4 linked regions of the Arabidopsis thaliana genome follow. The protein of the gene in region 3 interacts with the protein of the main gene of each other region in a pairwise test. Each region holds a gene or a part of one and is shown on either strand. Other genes may lie near its edges.

What was found.
Region 1: the proteins of DPA (region 3) and CYCD3;2 interact in a two-hybrid assay, tested with the Arabidopsis thaliana proteins (one large-scale study listed by BioGRID).
Region 2: the proteins of DPA (region 3) and TIP interact in a two-hybrid assay, tested with the Arabidopsis thaliana proteins (one large-scale study listed by BioGRID).
Region 4: the proteins of DPA (region 3) and CYCD1;1 interact in a two-hybrid assay, tested with the Arabidopsis thaliana proteins (one large-scale study listed by BioGRID).

What each region holds. Positions count from the first base shown.
Region 1 is NC_003076.8:26,834,385-26,840,128, forward strand, and holds CYCD3;2 (CYCLIN D3;2), read left to right. Parts: upstream 1-1,755; 5' UTR 1,756-1,928; coding exon 1,929-2,429; intron 2,430-2,519; coding exon 2,520-2,721; intron 2,722-2,799; coding exon 2,800-2,930; intron 2,931-3,011; coding exon 3,012-3,246; coding exon of another isoform or gene 3,247-3,281; exon of another isoform or gene 3,282-3,490; intron 3,491-3,912; coding exon 3,913-4,004; intron 4,005-4,993; exon of another isoform or gene 4,994-5,084; coding exon of another isoform or gene 5,085-5,110; coding exon 5,111-5,164; downstream 5,165-5,744. Other genes in the region: AT5G67265 (uncharacterized protein), read right to left, coding at 5,085-5,300, 5,432-5,452. UniProt on the Arabidopsis thaliana protein: Promotes divisions in the guard cells (GCs) after the guard mother cells (GMC) symmetric division when in the presence of CDKA-1.
Region 2 is NC_003076.8:8,415,875-8,421,001, forward strand, and holds TIP (TCV-interacting protein), read right to left. Parts: upstream 3,203-5,127; 5' UTR 2,850-3,202; coding exon 2,672-2,849; intron 2,480-2,671; coding exon 2,199-2,479; intron 2,107-2,198; coding exon 1,849-2,106; intron 1,764-1,848; coding exon 1,305-1,763; intron 1,226-1,304; coding exon 1,046-1,225; 3' UTR 501-1,045; downstream 1-500.
Region 3 is NC_003076.8:541,796-546,956, forward strand, and holds DPA (Transcription factor DP), read right to left. Parts: upstream 3,161-5,161; 5' UTR 2,920-3,160; exon of another isoform or gene 2,635-2,919; 5' UTR 2,629-2,634; coding exon 2,510-2,628; intron 2,423-2,509; coding exon 2,361-2,422; intron 2,278-2,360; coding exon 2,234-2,277; intron 1,995-2,233; coding exon 1,923-1,994; intron 1,835-1,922; coding exon 1,694-1,834; intron 1,600-1,693; coding exon 1,531-1,599; intron 1,310-1,530; coding exon 1,211-1,309; intron 1,133-1,210; coding exon 1,062-1,132; intron 969-1,061; coding exon 767-968; 3' UTR 523-766; downstream 1-522. UniProt on the Arabidopsis thaliana protein: Involved in the regulation of the G1/S transition. Increases the DNA binding and the transactivation activities of E2F proteins after heterodimerization. The complex DPA/E2FA promotes cell division and acts as a regulator of the endocycle.
Region 4 is NC_003070.9:26,437,976-26,443,525, reverse strand, and holds CYCD1;1 (CYCLIN D1;1), read right to left. Parts: upstream 3,971-5,550; 5' UTR 3,874-3,970; coding exon of another isoform or gene 3,730-3,873; 5' UTR 3,512-3,729; coding exon 3,239-3,511; intron 3,087-3,238; coding exon 3,000-3,086; intron 2,474-2,999; coding exon 2,375-2,473; intron 2,280-2,374; coding exon 2,078-2,279; intron 1,989-2,077; coding exon 1,852-1,988; intron 1,768-1,851; coding exon 1,546-1,767; 3' UTR 519-1,545; downstream 1-518. Other genes in the region: AT1G70209 (uncharacterized protein), read left to right, coding at 3,730-3,873. UniProt on the Arabidopsis thaliana protein: May activate cell cycle in the root apical meristem (RAM) and promote embryonic root (radicle) protrusion.

The sequences.
Region 1 (5,744 bases), about 26 Mb from region 3:
ATTTATATAAATCATGATTAAGTACTTACGTCAGATTATGTAATAATTAGTACGTTCATATAGTGCCGGGAGGTTTATTAGTACCATTTTTACTCTCTCTCTTTTTCTTCAATTACACATTTACTTTAAAGTCGATTATTTGATTGGATGCTAAGTTTTAGAAAATAATGTCAAAAATTCTGGTTCTCGAGAGGCTACAAAATTTTAACTCTCCTCTCTTTTTTTTTATTACCGTATTTTCTGTAACCATCATATCTCCCACCCATAGTGACTTTTTTACATGGGACTATCAATTTTACTTACAAAAGTTACTGGTTTACAACGGCGACCATGGTTTGAATTCAGATAAAGATAAAGAAGGAAATGCAGAGAGGTGGGGACAAATTACAAGAAGGAAATGAAAAATAAGATGTGAAAGGTGGAAATGAGAAGTCGCTATTAAACTTTGTAGTAATCTCTCTCAGATTCAGGCTTCGTTTCGCTTGTTACCAATGGCTTCTTTCACATCTTTCCCTCTCGTGATTTACTTATATCTTATCTTTATATGTCTGTCTTGACTCTTGATCATGCATTCAATACAAATAACATCCAAAATATTACTTGTGTGTTTCTCTTTCTTTTCCAATAACTAACATGGAGTACTAATAATATTCAGATTTTAACATAAATAGTACTCCCTCTGTTTCATAATATAAATTATTTTGGACCAATTTTTTGTTTCACAATATAAATTGTTTTCAAGTTTCTATGTAAATTATATATTATTTTATTACTTTATGATTATATATATTAATATGCAGTATCTTTTATGATTGGTTGAACTTTTTAATAGTAAATATTCTTAATCTGCGTGCTTTTATCTAAAACAATTTATATTGTAAAACGGAGAAAGTATTAATTTGATTTGTTCTTTCTTTCGTTTTCACTTCTTTCATTTGAATAATATCCTTTGTTGTTTTGTTCAATCTTTCATTTTTGTATTATAACGAAACTCAAAAGAAGGTATTTTGACCACTAATGTTGTTGTTAAAGTTTTAAACATCCTTTTTGGATAATTTAATTTTTATTGTAAAGGCAAGAAATACATAAATATTTAATCTGCTAATCGCCTTTTTTTTCTTGCCTCGAATCCGAATTTTAACATATAAAGAAGCGAGACAGGTTCGAATTAAATAATCTCTCTTTTAAAGAGATCTTTATAGAATACATAAAAAAAAATCAAACTATTTATAGAAAAAATAAAATAAAAACGAATTTTTGCTTTCAATTTATGTACATTGGACCACAGAATCTGCAAAGCTATGTATGTATCAAGAAAGACGTGACTATAATAAATACCACGAACAATAAATAATTAGATTCTTATTACGAATCTTTTATGTATTCCCCTAAAAAAAACCATGTCATAATTAGTCTCATTAAAATACGATTGTATGTAAAAAAAATCATACCGTATGTAGAAATATGGACTTCATTCTGTAAATAAAAGAAAAATTAACGTGTCAAGATCTTTGTTAATCAGTAATTAAAATCTAAAATGACTTAACTCAATCCGCAACACATAGGACTGGGAGCGTAATCATCACGATCCGATCGGGACATATGTTTGTCTCCATCGTACGGATAGGGTATATGAGCGTGTTTTTCACGCGCATCATTCGCGTGAACTAAGAATGCTAATGAATTCGTTAATTCGTTAAAATAAAATAAAATAAATTATATTAGAAATTAAAAGAAAAGAAAGAAAGAAAAAAAAAAAAGACAAGGCGTGAGATAATAAAACCCTTTGGCTTTCTCATAGAGATTTGTCCGGTCTCTTGTTCCTCTTTCTCCTTTCTTCACTGTAGAATCCGTCGACCAAACAACTAGCTCCAATGGCATAATGAGCATTGTAGTTTGCAATTTCTTCTTCCGTGAAGAAGAAGAAGATGGCTTTGGAGAAAGAGGAAGAAGCGTCACAAAACGGTGCGTTTTGTGTCCTTGATGGGCTCTATTGCGAGGAAGAAACCGGGTTTGTGGAGGACGATCTTGATGACGATGGAGATTTAGATTTTCTCGAGAAATCTGATGAGAGTGTTGTAAAGTTTCAGTTTTTACCTCTTTTGGATATGTTCTTATGGGATGACGATGAGATTCTGAGTTTGATTTCAAAGGAAAACGAAACGAATCCATGTTTTGGGGAACAAATCTTAGATGGCTTTTTGGTTTCTTGTAGGAAAGAGGCTTTAGATTGGGTTCTTAGGGTTAAATCTCATTATGGGTTTACTTCATTGACGGCTATACTTGCTGTGAACTACTTCGATAGGTTTATGACAAGTATAAAGCTTCAGACTGATAAGCCATGGATGTCTCAGCTTGTTGCTGTGGCTTCTTTGTCTTTAGCTGCTAAAGTTGAAGAGATTCAAGTTCCATTGCTCTTAGACCTCCAAGTTAGTTTCTTTTCTCTCTCTCCTTCTTATAATGTTTGCTGAAATGCTGAGTTCTAATGGAGTTGTTTTGTTGTGTATTTGTGGTTTAAGGTGGAAGAAGCAAGATATCTCTTTGAAGCTAAGACGATTCAAAGAATGGAGCTTTTGATTCTTTCTACTCTTCAATGGAGAATGCACCCTGTGACTCCAATCTCTTTCTTTGATCACATTATCCGGCGATTTGGCTCTAAATGGCACCAGCAATTAGACTTCTGTAGGAAGTGTGAGCGTCTTCTGATCTCTGTTATTGCTGGTGAGGTTTCCCATTTTAAAACCTTTACGATGTTTTTGTTTGGATTCTTGTTGCTTAAATTCTGAGTCTTGGTCGCAGATACGAGGTTTATGAGGTACTTCCCTTCTGTCTTAGCTACTGCAATAATGATCCTTGTCTTCGAGGAATTGAAGCCATGTGATGAAGTTGAATACCAATCTCAAATAACGACTCTACTCAAAGTCAATCAGGTCTGTTGCTTAAAAAGGCTTTGTAAATTAGTCCAGTTATAATGTTAAAGATGAGAATCTGATTCAGCATTGACTTCACAGGAGAAAGTAAATGAATGCTATGAACTGTTGTTGGAGCACAATCCAAGCAAGAAGAGGATGATGAATTTGGTTGATCAGGACAGTCCAAGTGGTGTATTAGACTTTGATGACAGCTCAAATAGCTCCTGGAATGTCTCCACTACTGCTTCAGTGTCCTCATCATCTTCGTCTCCAGAGCCTCTGCTCAAGAGAAGAAGAGTTCAGGAGCAGCAAATGAGATTGCCCTCAATAAACCGTATGTTTCTCGATGTGCTTAGTAGTCCTCGCTAGTACCTTTCTTTGATCAAATGTGTCAAAACATAAATTCAATCTCTCTTTTGCTTATTATTATCGGCCATCGGCTACAATTTGAAGGCAGAACATTTTGTGATAACTCTAAGTTAATTCTGCCTCTTAAATCATAATATTCATTGATCAATCAGTATTGTGTTCAAGTAGAATGTTGAATAGAGAATTCAAAAGTCAAAAAGTAAGGAGTAGTACATCGTCCTTGAAATCTCAACAAACACTAGCAATATAGGGCTTTAGACTAAGTAAGAATTGACTGATATATGAGCATCAGTAACAGTAAAAAGTAAAAAGTATCTCTCTCTTTCTTTCTATCTATCACTCTCTCTCTCTCGTGATATGTCAATTGTTTGATATGGAAATCTCTTGGACGTCTTTTAATTTTGTGGAGATAAGATTGGAAAAAGAAGAGTGGTTGATATAAATGATAAACCTGAAACATCTGATTTCTTCTGTTGGGTTAGTAAAACATGTGAAAGAAAACCTCAGTTGTACCTTTTGAGCAGACCTAGGCAGAAACAAGAAGAGTGGTTGGTTTTTTCCATAGATTAATTTCTTTTGTAAAAAATAATCTCTTTAAATTTTGGGGTAATTTTCAATTTTGATTTGAAAGGAAAGGATTTTGAGACCAGACAAAGGGTGGTTCAAGTACTCGTCTTGTTTTTATCCTTGAAGATGAAAAAAATCTGGTGGACATATATGTATGTAAGTATGTAACACCTTCCTCCTATGACTTGAATTTACTGTCCCATGTCTTGTCAAAGACAAAGACAATAAATATGTTATTAGCTTTTAAGCACCATCTGTGAATAACCCATTGGACATTTATCAGAATTTCAGACACACATATATATAGATTCTGACATATATATGAATTAATGTGTTGGTTTTATTGGAATATGAGATTTTAAGTAGCTTTCTTGGGGTTTTTAATATTACTTGAGATATTAGTGAGTAAACCAATCAAGACCTCCCTAATAATCTTTGATGATTTAGTCCTTACTCATTCAAATGGTAATTGTTTTTGTATTTTTTTTTGGTAAAATGGTTTTACTTTAGCTATCGAAATTGATGATATTGCTGAAAATAGCGTCTTCAACGGTCGGATATGTTTTTTTAGCAGAACAAAAAGAAAAAGCCTGTCATTTTTTTTTCCATCATAAAAAAAGAAAATAAAAAAGCCTGTCAATTATAGAAAAAAAGCTTTATAATTTTTTGTTTTAAAGTAGTATACGTACGTCGGTCTTTCCCACCAACATCCCACACGGTAAAGCTCACGTTTTTGTACTCCACGGTCTTTATACGTTACTTATATCCTTGTTACATATTTAAACAAATTCAGCACACACAAATAGTTGGGAAAAATAATGAGACACAGAATAAAATAAGACATGAAATAAATTAACCAACGAAAAAAAAGAAGAAGAGAAACTTCCGATGGTTACTTATTGGTGGTGATGAACAAAAATACTTCTTTTTTTTCATGCAAAGAAAACTAAAAAAGGAATAAGGTTCTGCCTTTAATGAGTTATCTGATAAGAAATAAAGATTTGGAAAAAGCTTCATTCATCTTTATTCTGAACAGTGTTATAAGCTCACATTTTTACTTTTTGAGGAAAAAGAAAATCATATAAACCTTTTTATTTCATGATATTTGTAACCAAGAAAAAAATGTTATAGATTAAAAATAGGTGAAGCTAATAAGATTACGGGTCTCATTATGGGAATACAAAGAGGATTTTTTACAGTGGTAAAGAAAGTACTAGAAAATAGAAAACCGATTATTTATTTAGAGATGACTTCTTTGGCAGATTGAAGGGTGGATTCAACGGCAGCAGCAGCTCCGACTAGAACGTCGCCGCTAGTTTTGGGATGAGATTGATGAACCACTTGTACATTTCTTTGCTCTGTGCCTTTCCCCGCCGAGGAACGTTGCTCCGTTGTTTCCACCACCACTTTTGATGATGATCCATCCTCTTTTCTTTTTTCAGTCTCCATTTCCTTACAAGTAAAATCAAATTACAAATATTACAATTTAATTAATCCGTTTCAAATTTATATTACAATTGAATGATTTATCATATTACTAAACGAAAAATACAAAGAAGTAAAAGAAGATGAATTCATCATACCTTCGTGGATTTTAGGTTCATAGCTATATTGTAATAGAATTTTTTAACTGGAGTTTAGGAAAAAGTAACAGAAATTAAATTTATAAAAGAAATTTTCTAAAAGAGCAGAAAATCGTAATTTTTGGGTATACGAACGTCCGGTTCTTGCGTTTGTCTTTCTGTTCCTCTCAAAATATCAATAGGCCAGCCTAAGTGTTAGGACAAACTTATGTTTAATTATTCAGCACTGCTACTAATCAAATAAGATGTGAAACTGTAGGGGCAAAACATATTATACCATAAGGACCACAAAACATCACAACAATGATATTTT
Region 2 (5,127 bases), 7.9 Mb from region 3:
GAAAGAATTGTATTTTCTTTTCTTACTCACACATAATTTTGAGTTTTATTCAAAGTATGATACAACATTGATATATACTACTTATATCAGCTAACACATTTAAAAAGTCTAATAATTGTTTTGGTACTTACGTATTTTGGGTTTTATTCCAAAGCAACACGACAGTAATATTGATACAAACTGCTTCCTATGTCTTATTGTAAGTGTTGTTTAATTTTTTTTACAGATATCAAGAAAACAACTAAATTTTGAAATTTTATTCTTGGTCCATACAATTAAGTAGTAAGGATACAATTATTCTTGTAGAAGCCGGATTTGCCAGAAGAGGACCGGCCATCTTTGCTAACAAAGCCAAAAAGATGTCGGGCAAAAGCCCAAAACTTGGGACGGCAGTTTACCAGAATAATCCGGTCGGCAGAATTCAACAGTTCCTCTCTCTAAAAGATATGAAGGAGAGAAAAGAGAGGTGATCATATTATTTGAACTATTCAAATATGCATTCTTTTGTCCAAAAATTTTGTAATATATTACTGGGCATACTTAATGCCATAAAATACCCAAATGACATGTTTAACAGTCCATACCCTCAATCAAACCGTCCTATCATACTAAACATGTTTAATGATATACGAAATAAACACACCTCTAATAAATATCTCTACCCGGTCGGTTCGTACTAACATGTTTGACACCGTTTTCATTACGGTGCTACCATTCGAACTCGTAGTTTGTTTCTGATTGTACAAGGCTACTAAAAATGTCAAAAACGCAATCTCAAGACACATGTGGTCAGGAATAAAAAAATTTCCAAACATTACCATCTGAATATTATGAGTCGTCGTACATGTTAACTACAAGTCTACTACACTCCTAAACCGACCATGGTTAAGCTTAAGCCGACAAAAACAACAACAATAACAACAGATGCAGAACCAGGCCAAAACCCCTGTTATACACACAAATCCGCGCTCTCTCCACCCGTAAAAACCACTTTCTTTATTCTTACTATATGAATTGATCGGAACAAACATCACATTCAGCGGATTTATGCGACTAGACTGCAGACCGACATCACACACACAACCGCTACCACACCGACTCTGAAAAGCCCTCTGTATGAACATCCCATGGCTGCAATTTTCTTGAATATGAAACTAGTCCTGCTCTTTGATCTTGTGAAATTTCCACATCCTTTCGTCATAGTTTCCGTTGTTGTGTCCTTAACCTATATACATTTTATCGCATAAATATAAGGATCATAAATTGTAATACATGAGAAGGTATGAAAACAAACTTCTTCTCACCTCTTTCTTGATAAATTGAAGTTGTGTACTGTCAGTTTCTGACTTGTGGCTGTTAAGGTTAACCTGAAGACGCAGCCTTCTTGAGGCATCGCCCTGCATTACAAACTGCTCAGCACAACCCGGGGCTTGTGCTCGTCGAGCTCTAATCTTAATTCCTCTCTTAGATTCATCATTGATCTTGTTGCATGAGCTAAGATTCTGTGGCTCATATGGGATCTGTTCTGGCTCATAGGGAATGTCAAGAAAAGAATCCAAGAACTTGGACATATATTCATCCGCATCATTTGTACCGTACTGAGTCTGAATGTAATCCTCATTGTGGTTTTTGAACAATTCACTAGACTCAGATTGTAAGCCATTGAAAGAGGAACCGAGCTCAGATTGCACCTGAGAGTGCAACGGAGAGAACAGCTTCGGGGAATCAAACTCCATAAACGAGAGCCAATCGATATCGTCAAGCTGTTGAGTAAAATGAAGTTTGTAAGTTTACAAAGCGGTTGTACCGCCTCCTGTAATGAAAAGAATGTATTTTGTTCATCCTTACCCCGGTGGTTGTAACCTCAGGGACAGAGTATCCACTACGACATTCGCTGGGGATTACAAGAGAAGACTCTGCGACGTCACAAGGATTAGTCTCTTCTGTTTTAGGGAAAACAGGAGATACCTCAGACATTTCAACCTCGTCCACAACAGTTGGAGACGATACCGCTGGTTCAACTTCACATGACTTTGACTCTTCTGGTTCAGCAGCTCCGTTCACAATATCTTGCTTCTTAAACAACTTACAAACAACAAACGGATTCTGCAACCAAAAACAATCAAACAAACACAATCAGAAACACAAAAGACCTACACACACAAGTTAATGCCATCATTTGCCAAGTTGGTTTTTACCTGGCCAGACTTTGTTCCATCAAGATCCTTCTCAGTAGCACGATACTCATGCATAATCCAACAAGTTCGTGTCCCTTTAGGAGCACGACCTGTATAAAACACTAGAGTCCTCTTAACACCTATAATCTTAGTCTTTCCTGATTTGATCTTACGGTCTTTTCCCGTCGCCTTCCAGTATCCAGCCACAGTAGCTCTATTCATTCGACTTCCACTCGGATATTTCCGGTCCAAAGGACAAAAGAAGAGCCACTCTGAGTCTGTTGTCTTCACCACAGAAAAATCTACACCACAAATACTAAAGTATAAATCTTTACTCAAATTCACTAAGTCCACTACCTAAGCTAAGAAGTTATTGATCATATTGTTCCAAATTCAAACATGCATAAACCGGAATTGAAGCCTGGGAATTGCTAAACCGAGACTAAAGAGCTAAAGATGAATCAACGAATTGATTTGATGAAGAAAGGAATTACCAGGCAAATCCCAAGGCTCCCATTTGCAGATATCGATCTCACGAATTACTCTAACGTCGTTATCGTGACCGTTGATCTTGAGCCGGAGATAGTACCGGACTAACTCTTCGTCCGTTGGACTAAATCTGAACCCAACCGGTAGTGAAGCGAGCGATAGTACTTCCATGTCTTCTTTCATAGTTGCGTGAGACTTTGAGAATTCGAGAGGAAAAGAAAAAATCACAAATTCGACTTCAAGGTGATATCTAAAATGAATTTGGATCAAAGATGCGATTCAAAGGTATATAGAAGAAAACTAAGAAAAAACCAGATTCCAGAATTTGATGAAGTACGAAAAGAAAAAACCCTAAAATTTGACACGATTTGGTAAAGTGGAGAAGAAGGAGATGTGACACGATTTGGTCAGACAAGAGAGATATCAAAGACAAAGAGATGAAAAAGTGGCGCGTGGATAGGCGTACCACTGTTTCCCAGAAAGTCATAAAACACAAAACCACGTTCGTTACGCGTAAAAGGCAAAACAGAATGTAAATACCTATTTTACCCCTGAAGTATTGCAGTAAAATAGTTACGGAAATAGGGGTTATATGAGTCAAAAGGTGAGGATGTCTGAACGAGAGATGTCACCTAGCGAATCATATATTGACACGTTGATGCTATAAAGGAAGCTTCGTGATAGTTGTACGGAAGTTAAAGAAGAATTAAATAAACTTAATTGGTATCATATTGATTTACCAATATGAAACAGTTTACACAACTGGCCAGCCCATCTTACTAATAGTGTTTGTTGTTAAAGCCCAATAGATGAGAACCCAATTCAACCATTTTTTTTTCTTGGTCGTGTGAAGTCTGAATCAATTTATTTAAACCAAATAATGTAAATCAAATAGGTTTAAACTTTAAAACGTTTGATATCGAAGTCCGTTGGTACTCAAAACTAAACCTCAAAAACAGAGAAGAAAGTAGCGAGCGAAAAGGAAGATCTTATTTATCTAAACTTAACGTTCGGCCGTTTACAAGATATGTTTACAGCCAAGCCTCGTTTTAAGAGATACAACAAGAATAAAACTACACAAGTCAATTGTCGAGCTTATGTCTTTGAATCCGAATGAGAATGTTCTTGTACTATTCTCGTCCGACTTCAGGTGTCCTTTTCTGGCATTCCTCTGTCAATATTTATAGTACTTCAATGAAAGTACACAGTACCATTTTCTGAGCGATATGAAACTTCTATGGCGGCTGATCCTTTCCAGAAAATGGGCCTCATCTCGCAATGGGCTGCGGCTTTCTCAGGGGGGCTGGTCTTCATCATTCTTAACTGAGGTTTTCAATGACTCTTTGTTTGGGCCTCCGAATGTTAAATGGGGCGAAGCCCATATCCAACAAAGTTTATCTAAGTCATTGCTTTTTGTTTTGTTTTTGGGTTTAGACCTCTGCGTTTCTAGTTTGAGGATAGTCTCTTATAGTGTTTGATTAGTTGGAATGTAATCTTTTACAACCATAATTGTTTTTGTGAAGACCAAATTGTTGTGAATTAGTTTTAGAAAAAAAAAAAATCTTGTGACCGTAAATCTTATATTTCTACAACCTAAAACCATATGTTGTTATAAGTTCTATAAGTTATATTTTTAATTTAATCTCTCTTTTATTTTAATTTTATTTCCTCATGATCATTTTTTATGTGTTGCTTATATAATGTACACTAGGCACTAGATGGATATATACTAATAGTATAAATACCATGTATAGTTTTGTTTGTTAATGTATACTTATGTATAAATTTTGAACAACATTTGAACAAAAAATTTATATGTATATATTCTTTTCAACTAATATGTAGTTATTATCCGACTAACATATAAACTATTTTACATGTTTATATAGATTCCATTTAACCTATATGTGCATCACAAAATTTGTGTTGTTGTTTATTATATAGTTTGGTTAACTATAATATTTTATAAAATATTTACTAATCATATTTTAAGATACGACTAATAAATTTACTTCTAAGACTTTATATCCCTAATATCTACACGTATAACAATAAAATACACGGTTGCATTTTACACGCTGACGGTCAAAATTTTACAGCGAATAATTTACGGTGACATGCCAACCAATCACTTAGTTACTAAAGACGTTTACTTTCTATCTCAAAGTTCAGTTTCTGGAAATATTTTATTTTCCGTTGTTTAAAATCATAAATGTATGTAGCTTTTAAAATAGTTTTTGGCTTTCGAATTTTAGTTTGTAATTTTTTTTTTTGGTGTAAATGTTAGTTGTTTGAAAAATTTGAATGGTAATTAGATGTGGATTTTAGTTTAGTTTTAATTTATTTGAAAAACAAAGAAAAAATATTAAAACTTGAATATGTGGAAATCTCTCTTTTTATTTTTATTTTATTTAGAAAATTATGTATTTCCTCATGATCCTACTTAGTGGCTATGTTCTAT
Region 3 (5,161 bases):
GATATATCTTAGTTGTTCTATAAGAAAATTAGGGCTGATATGATATCTACTGCTTTTGTGGACTATATCAGCTACAAATCTAATTATACAGAAGAGAAATTGGTTGTGCTTGAATTTTAGTACGTCTATATACCTCAACTTTAACTAAACAAGTAACTAATAGATTGGACTAAAATGGGCCAACACTAATTACTAAATAATATTAGATGATATTGATTTAAAATGTATTGAGAATGAGTAGATTAAGTTGATGAAAAGAATAGTATATAGTATTTATTTTGACGGCAATTGAAAAACAGTCCAACATTCTTCCGAAGTGTCCCCAACCAATTTCGCTTTTCTTTCCCTCGAACCGCCGCGATGTCTCTTTTTTTCCTTTTCCAGACAAAAAACATTATTTTTGCATGGGAATTGCAAATTTTGAACTTTCCTAGCACACGCGCCATTTAAGCGCGTAAATTGAATCTAACTAGCTTCGGTAAACCAACCTAACCGGAGACTAAATTTGTTAGACCAATCAAACAGAAGGAAAATAGCCAATAGATTCAACACGGTTAGTTTTGGTTTAAAACAATAGTTTCTGTTTCCGTTGAAATATCGCATCAAGTTCGAATAAAAAGGAAAATTGGATAAACAAACATTTGTTGGCCTATGAATTGATTTTACAGTCTCTCTCAATTGAACACTAAACCAGATGTATAATTTTTTAGTATACCAATTAGATCATTACTTCTTCTTCTTGAAGAATTTGGGAATAGAAGCTCGGTCAGCGAGTATCAATGGATCCCGAGTTCCAGCAAACCGGGCCTGAGGTTCCAGAAGCAATGCAAGAACTGGATGAAGAATGAGCGGAGCTATGTTGAGATTGGTGATGTGTAGATGAAGAAGAAGATACTCTGTTCTGTTCTTGCTTCTGTTCTTGCATCAGTTTCAAAATGTAAGCATCATCATGGACCGAGAAAGGTGTGCTGCTCACAACAAAATTTACGAAGATTTCAATTCCGATTTAAGAGATAGCAGAACTGATTTTGATTTTGAGAAGAAATGTTGTTTATTTTTACCTATTGAAGTCGAGGTGTACAAGTTGCATATCTTCAGAAATCTCGATTTCGACTACTGCGTGAGGGTTTGTCTATAGAGATGGAAATAGATTAGGATATCGAAAAACATGAAATAGAAACTACGGACGAGAAAGAGATTTTTGAAGTACCTCAAGTAGAATGAATGGTAAGGTAAATCCTTCTGCTGGGCCTTGAGTCTTCACAACCATCTCTTGATTTCTCGACATAAGACTCTCAAGACTTGAGACCTGATGATAACAACATTTGAGTAACATTATAAGCAAAACGTAGAAAGACGGTTTAACATTTCATTAAGACAACATAAAATGATTCAATACACGACGTATCTATGGATTCTAGAAAACCTGCAATATCAATAACTTTTGTCATCTATTGACATGCATAACAAGATCTCAAATTCTAAGAGAGTCTTGTATTTAAATTTTCCATCAAACAGAAAGAAGATCACCTTTTCTCTCAACTCTTTAAGAAAAGCAGCCTTCTTTTGCACACTGCTCATAACTTTATTACGATCCATCTGCAAATAGAGGTAGAGAGATTAGTAGAGAAGACGAAGAGAGAGAGCAATTACATAGATGAGATAACTGAAAGGAAAAGCTTGGAAGCTAAACCTTGACTTCTTCCACATCCTTTTTGCAGGTAATAGGAAGTCCTTTCCACCGGATTTCCTTTTTATCCCTTGCAATAATATCCAACGCCATGAACACATTGAGCGCATCGTAGACTCTCCGCCTTATGTTCTTCTCATTGTACTGATTGAACATAAGAGAATGTTGTTATAGCTTTTTTTTTTTCCAAATAACTCAAGACAGATGATATGAGCTTTCCATCTCGCTATACCTCATTTTCATTCAAAGGCTTCTCTGCGTTTTGCTTAATTGTGGCAAAATCTGAAATAATTTCGTCTGCAACCTGGAATCACAAGAGCCACAGTCTCAAACGTAGATTTTCACATTTTCTGATACAATGCCTCTATATAAGGGCAAGACTCCTGATTAGAAGAAGAATTTGAGACAATGCTCAACAACTAACTTAGAGGATTGCTTCTTGAAGTGAATACTTGTTCATATAAAGATCAATTCTAATGCGTCTTAAACTGAAAACTCATTGATTACATCACCAATTCCTTAATGGAACAAAGAGAGTAATACCTCCTTGTAAGTAGTTATCTTCTTGGCTTCCAACTTCTGACAAACTGTGTGAAGTTAAATCAAAATCAGCAAAACAACAATACTTTCACTTCAGGCATGTTTGAGCTAAGAGAGATATATCACTGACCCATAACACTGAATTGACGAAGCCCGCCTCCAGAAGTTCTTGATTGCCCTTTCTTCTCTGATCTTTTAAACACAAATTCAATACAGACATTTTAGCTCCAAGTAAAAAAACCAGAGACTTTGTGAGTAAGAAGAATAATTAACACTGACCCAATTTCAGAATCATCATCAACAATCAATTTCCTTCTCACTGGAGTTTTCTCAACGCTCACTGAAGGATGTTGCCTCTGCTTCTCTGGAGTGACAAACAACTCCATCTCCATACTCATCCTTCTCTACACAATTTACCAATTAACAAAGTTAGCTACACGAAATCAAATCAATTAGTTGTTCATGTCTCAAATCCATCGTTGACTAAAACCGATGAATCAATAGACACAATCTAAAAAACCCTAAATTGTTGACAGCTCCAATTTCAATTTTTTAACAAAAGCTAAACAAAATTTATGAAATGGGAATCATCAACCAGTTGGATTAGATCTAACGATGGTGAAGAAAACCCTAGTTCAGAGAAATAAAGGCTAAAGCTCGAATCCGTTTCAAAAGATCAAAGAACGAACCAGTGATCGATCTTCCAATGGCGGAATAAAAAAAGATGGAGATTTTTTTTCTAGGGTTTTGGTTTTACTCTTTTTATTACACAGAGATGCGAACAACAACCAAAAAAAAAAAATCGGAGATGAAATTACTTTGGGTGAGAGTTCCCGCTATAAACAAACAAACAAACTGTAACAACAAACAAACACAGAATTCTCCATAGCCCATCAAAAGCCTCAACAAAAACAAAACACACGCACTCTCTGTGTTCGAACCCAACCGCTACGGTGTCGTTTTTCAACTTTGGCGGGGGATTTAAATGGGCCTTTTGTAACTCTTTGTAATTTTAAGCCCGTTGGGCTAATTATATGTCTAAAATCGATCACGTATTAAACTCTTTGATAATCGATAACGTTACCAAATAAATAATGAAAATTTGGCTGTCTCTATTACATATGTTGACAGTTGTGTTTGTATTCGATCCAATTGTTTAAAAAATAATAATATTAAGTTCACTGAATCTTGAAAAAATGTTTGGTACGTATGCATTTAAGTTATTGAAAACATTATCGCTAGCTTATAAAGTTTATGATTTTTTCGTCTTATATATAAGACATGGTCCGTATCATCAACTTGTAACTATTAAAAAAAAAAACTCACTATTCTCATATACTTTTTATTTCTTTTCTAAGATGCTTATAGTTTTACACGTTAGTGCTTTAAGCCTGCAACGTGTGAGAAGGTTGCGTTGCACTTTCACTAGATCGAAAGAATATATGCATAGTTGCTTGATCCTTTTTCTTTTTCTTCTTTATACGATGATCGTACTCGTATAGTACTGAAAACTATATGATAAATTTCAGCATAACTGTTTGTTCAAGTTGTTAACCGATTAAAAGCTTTAAAGTTTGAAAAAGGATATGTTTATGATAATTGCAACCACTTGGTACTTGCCACTTGTTCTCCATGATTGTTTTTTTTCTCTCCATATGAAGATTAAATTAAATTATTTTGTTTGTAGTTTTAACTAGTTCGAGTTGATAAGAAAGTTTGGAGCATGGCCATGAGAACCAAAGCTGTTCCTAGTTCCTACGCTGCTTGATTGCGGAGAGTCATTCTCTTACTCATTGCTTCATCATCATTTCCAACCGTTTAGAGTTTCACTAGCCATGTTTCTCTTCTTCACCTCTTTTTTTGTTTAACCTTTATGTATACCTTCCTTCTCGTATACCTTAATCAGACCGGTATGGACTAATCAATTCCTCATGCTATTCATAGCTATGCACTATCATAAGATTTTGAAACAATATAACTTCAAATTTGATTTGTTTACTTTGATGTTTCTATGTGTTGTCAGAATATATAAATATATGTTTTGTCATTACAAAAAAAAGAAATAGTGTGATCTATTTAAATGTTTGTTTGCTGTTTGTATATCTGTCGTTGTTTTGGGAGATGAGAGGTGGCAACTCCCAATATCTTTTTGGGGTCATCTTCAATGTCTTCTCAGATCTCAATTATTGAGTTTTTAAAGTCATGTTTGATTCTTTCTTCTCTTTTTTTTGGTTCACTAATTCTACTCTTTAATTAGTCTTCTTTTTTTGTCAACTTTCGTTTATATCACATAAACAATTATATCTATTGCAGTAAATATATTATTCATAATGTTCAAGTGTCCCTTGAGGAACTGAACATACAATAAACAAAATAATGTTACCGTATCATATGGTATGCGTATTTATTCCAGTAGCTTTTTCTTTCTTAACATCTGAAATCTAGTAGAGTAATAGACTATTTATTTAATTTTGGAAATTTAATATGTTTTTTATATTTTTCCTATGTTTGCCCAAAATTGTTTTTACACAATCATTACTCGCCTTCATAAATTAAAAACTGACATGGTGAAATACATCAACAAGCTAATATGATACTCATAAAACTGACTCAAAATGCATTTTTTTTTTTTAAAGTAAAAAATATGTTGTCCTCGTAGTTATCCTCAAACTCTTTGATTCGATTGTTTTAGAATTTATAATACACTTAGATAGTCAACAAAGCTGGATTAGTTAATTAAATTCGTAGGCCGATGTATACTAAACACTGATGATGACGCATAATCCTACTTCAATGGATAAATAACTATACATAAAAAATAGTATTAATTTTGTTACACTCACTGGGGGCACAATAATGCAATTCGTCACTACAATTGATTTAAATAATATTTTAGGATTAGTAATCATATCACTCAACTAATCACCAACA
Region 4 (5,550 bases), on a different chromosome or scaffold from region 3:
ATTAAAACACACTTTTGTAAAATGTTTTGTTTTGCAGTAAGTTTTTTTCTTTTTCTTTCACTTCTTATTTCCTTTTTTACTTGTAAAATCGTGTGCATACATATATAAATGGATAGTCAAAGATGGTATTTTTGTGTGGCTAATGTTTGAGGGGTTCGAGAGAGATAGAACGGTGTAGCTACGTTATGGTTTCGTGGTGAGACCACTTTCTCTGACATGGAGACAGATCAACATCACATGTATGCTACTGCTCCTATTAATTGTTCCTCTTTACTAAAATCAAGAGAGAAATTAACCACTATTTTTTACTTCTTTTGTAATTTGTTTTTTTCATAATTTGATTTTCTTTTGTATATTTACTGTTGTTAAAATAGGTATATAAAACCCTTAATCTTTTGCCCAAAAAAACAAAAACAAAGAAATGTGTTTAATTATGGCAAAAATGAGGAAGGTTATTACATTTTGAACATTAAATACTTTTTTTTTTCTTTTGGTCTTAAACAAATACAATTTTCTTTTGTCTTTTTACGTTCGTCGTTCAATAAAACATACACTCGATCCACAACACACATGTTCACATGCTTCGTGCTCCCACAGGCCACACCAAAATCAAATCTCACCACTACTCATATTATCCTCTCACGTAGCTATTAACCTTCTCCACGACCATTATTGAGTTCAATGTACTTTTTCCTTCATATAATAGAAACGTTTTATTTATAAAATTCAACCTTTCAAGAAACCAAAAAAAAATCATATATATACACATACGTGACACCTTACACGCATGCAAACGCTACTAAAACGCACCGTGACAAAACTCATTTGGAGTCCACGAATACGTAGAAATCAAAAACACAAAATTTCCCGCCAAAATAAAAGATTTGAAGAGAAAACAAACACGTGAGACACACGCCTCCGTCACGTGAAGTCACACACAAGGAATCAAAAATCTTAAAAATCCAAACAAAAAAACAAATTATATATACTTCGCAACTTGATTTTTTTTTTGTTTGATGATGAAGCTGAGGAAGGGTCCCATGAACTGCTGCGATCCATTAAGACAAAGAGCTCAGAAAAATCTCCACTCACAAATCTTTTGCAAACGCTCCCCTGTCTTATCCATCAGTACCTGTGTGATGAGGACTCTAATGCAAATACTCTTCTCTCTCTCTCTCACACACACACACTCACATGATCATATCTTTTCTCTAACACGTGTGTGTTACACTCACTTACTCATTTTGCTTTCTTGGGAATCTGCAAAGCCATTAATGATGAGCTTCGTCTCTCCCAACCAACCAACCAACCCCAAAACCCAATTTTTACCCTTTCCATAAAAGAAATTGTAACCAAAACTCTTATTCCTTCCCCTTGGTTGGAAAACTCTTAATTACTTTAACTCAGCCAATAAACACTTTTACTTTTCTTCATCACTCCCTTATTACTATGTACTTGTTAAAAAATATACTCTACTTAAACAGAAGAGGGTTTTTTTTCTTCTAGGTTTTGTTTCCTTGGTCCTCTACTTTCACTCCCCAAATTTTAATTAGAGGTAGATGTTTCATCACCTACCCATGAATAGCCACTTAATTTTCTCCTTTTACAAGGAGAAGAGGATGAGAAAGAGGATTCATCACTTGGCCTTGTTAACGTCGATGATGCCCTTACACTCACTCGAAGCTTTGCTATCACTTTTGGTGTATTTAACCGGTTATTCTCGATGGCCATCGCTTTCATCAGTCTATAGCATCTCACTATCTTCTCCTGAAAGTCAAATATAACCAAAAGACATTAATTAGCAATCTGTTACTCCCTTGTTCCATCTAAACGTGATATAACAAATCCTACTTTGCTCAATCCGTCACACCAAGTCTCAGGGCTCTCGTGGGGATTGACAACAGAGGATAGAGAAGGTAACTCGTTCGCTACACAGAGAATCGCGGCTGCAGCTATACTCGATGGCCAGTACTCAAGAAAGCTCGCTTCTGTACTAATTGGTCATGTGTTAGAACCAACCCAAAAATGTGCTACCTAAATGACATTATGGATCATATATCATACAAATATTACGTACCTTTTATGTTGGAGAGTATAATCTCTGTAGCATGGGAGATAAAGAACCCGAGAAAGGTACCCGAAGGATCGATCTTGTAAGCAAAGAAGCTAATGAAATCAAACGGTGTAACCGATCTTAGTCTCCAATCTAACACACTTAGAACAAGAAGTTCCATTCTTTTTATAGTTTTTGCTTCAAATAAATACTTCACTCCTGCAACCTACATTACATTATACAGAGATACATAAATTAAAGTTTCTTAAAAAAACAGAGTAAATTCAGAATGTTAAAGAAAGAATGATAATATATGTTTACCTGAAAATCAAAAAGAGAAGGAACGAGAATTTCCTCCATCTTTGCAGCTAAAGACAAGCATGCCACTGCTAAAAGTTGCATTGGCCAACCACTCGTTTCCTATTTTACAGAAATTAAAGCTGATTAATATAATCATTGATTACTATATACTCTATTAAGTTTAATTACAAAATTAATTTAAAATATTATATAGTAGTAGGAGCGTTTTAACACTATGATTACAAAGTTTTCAATAAAGCCGATATATGAAGTGGAAAGTTTACTGCAAAAGTATACTATTATTATGTAAACGTCAATGTAATTTTTTATCGAAAATATAAATTTCAATAAAATAATTAAAAAACGAAAAAAAGTTCCCCAGCCCGCTCCTGTTCTATCGTTTACGTACATTCCAATATAAGATTAATTTCTACTAAATTATTCTATACCGATTATAATTTTTTGCTCTAATAAATTTTTAGTCGTTTTCATTTTTTTCTGAAGAAAAGTCAATAAACAAATCGATCCATTGAAAAAAAAAAAGGGAAATAAAACTGACTTTTTGGGGTTGTTATTTGTCATATCAATATAATAAAAAAACAGAGACAATAGAATTAACTAACGTTGACGTTTTTAAAACATTTACCGGTAATCGACGAGCGTAAAGAAACCGATCCATATAGTTAACGGCGAGGTACGCCGTTAAAGGCTGAAAGTTATAATACGCTTGTACCTGTAAACCAAACAATACCACACTACTGTAAAAAAAAAGATTCTCTGCATGTAACGATTCGATCAGCGTATTTTAGCGTCTACACACTCTCCGGCGGCGTATTTTAGCATTGAAAAAAATGAGAGGTAGAGAAAAAAAGTGAATAGGCTCGCCTTGAGAATCCATGCGACGGAATCTTCTCTAGCGGAAGCATCGAGAGATCGAGTTTGAAATCTAGAGAGATAATCATGTCCAGGAACGAAGTGACGCTCGTCTTCGATAAAACAAGCGATAGAATCACCAGGCCATGAATCAACCTCGGAAGACGAGAAATCAACCGTTGACTCACCGGAAAACACACCGGAGTCTTCTCCACAAAACAAATCCATATCGTTAGAGAATGAAACAGACATGTGTAGATAATCACTAAAACGGTAACTCCTCATTCTCTCCCCATAACCGGAGATGAATCAAACCGGAGCTAGATAAACCGGTGAGATCTAGAAGAAGCGAGAAGAGAGAAGTGAAATGTGAGGTTTTTGAATTTTGTGTGGAGAGAAGAGTGAAGGTTTAACACATTCATTTGTTTGGATATATAAACAAGAAACAGAGATTTTTTGAGGTTTTAATAATTTTTTATTTAAATGTGTTTTTATTTATAAAAATGGTGTTGTTGCAAATGAAACAGAGAGACGGTTACCGTTTCCGTTATGCCCGAGAAAACGGGACTGTTGTCACTGTTCCATCAATCGAGACGGGGCTGGTCCGTTCGTTCATTGGGTTTTGTTTTGAGTTTTTTTATTTGTAGTTTATGTTTGTGTTTTTTGACTAACATGCGCTAAAGTGAAATGCGTAGGTTAGGAACAAGGAGTGGTGTAATTACGTAATACGTGGCAGGTTAAGACGTTGCATGAGTGAGTACATTACAGCTAATGTACGTTTGTTTGCATATTACTCGTGAAGAGAGAAGGCCGTACGTGTAATGTATTAATTGGTGACGTGTAATGTATTACTTGGTGATTAGCTTAATGGGCCTGGATTATGGAACATTTTCTGTGATTTGGACCATTTTGTTGGTCGCTTAGAAAGAAACATTTTTTCGTATTTAAGATTTGGACTTTATTACTATTGGTTAAAAAATAAAAGCATCGAAAAATAAATCAAAATTTTACAGAGGTTTTAAAGTCATGACGCTTAATCATACGTATATATATAAGTATTTGATTTGCTAAAATGCAATTTTTTTGGTTATTGTTTGCTTTTTATGTGATTAGATGTAAAACTCCTGAACCATTTTAGGCACATGACAAATGCTCAATAGATTTGAGGCCATTTTAGATTCAATGATGATTTTTTAATCGAATGTAATTAATTGATGTTTTGCATTATAGTGCAATTTTTTTGCTGTTTTCTTGAATTAACCGTATGATAAATCAGTTTTTTTTTTGTAATATCAAGTGAGGGAAGAAGATTCCAAATTTTAAGATTGGTTATCTAATTATCTTGAATTATAAATTAGTAGTTTAATTGAGATTGGTTAATCAGAGGAAAGCAAACAGTGGTCTGGAGCGTGTGGGAAAGAGTAGTGGAAGTCCTTTTCGTAGAACCGGAGATTTTCTTCACATTCCTTTTTGTATCAATATGTCATATTTATTTGGTCCCTTCTTGGTTTAATTATGCCATAAAAGTGTTAAATCATTGGCCCGTTTTTATTAATCACTCCCGTAGTTACTTTCTTTCACGTGTGCCTTACAAAATACTTTGCTCCTTCGATTTAGATTTTAGACTTTAATTATACCATTGGGATGATCTCGGTTTAGATTGTAGTAGATTTTTCGCTTACCTCTAATATATTTACCCCTTATTTTAGTTTTCAGGTGTATTAGAAAAAATGTTTCATATTTTTTTTTTTTTTTAACATTGTTTCATATTTGTTTTGTATGTGTTTTCTATGCAGATTTGTATAAATTTGTCAATATTTTCATATTGATAAGAATTAAAAATTATGGAAGAGCTAATATATAACTATCACTTGTATGTACTATGTAAATAGTTGACAATGCTTACGTAGATAACGAAATTAACATTGAGAAAATTACAATTCAACAACTACATTGTACCATAGAAATTAGAAACAAATGGGATACTTTTTGAAATAGAAGATAATATATTTTTGGTATCTTCGGCGGAAGAAGACCTTCTTCATTATTTATTTGTTATGGCTAGGTTGGGCTACTAATTCATTTCTCTGTTTAGGTAGACAATATTTAAAACATATGGCTTACATTCAGATTTGCATTCACATTTACAGTTAAATTAACATTTTTATCATGCAGTATATGTTTATTTATATTAACATTAATGAAGTCAAGAAACTGAAATTTGAAAGGAGGGAAAATATGCACCTCCCAACCTACAACAATTTATCAGACTGACTACATTCTCGTGGTAGGGTTCGTCATTTTTGTTAATGTCTTATTTTCTT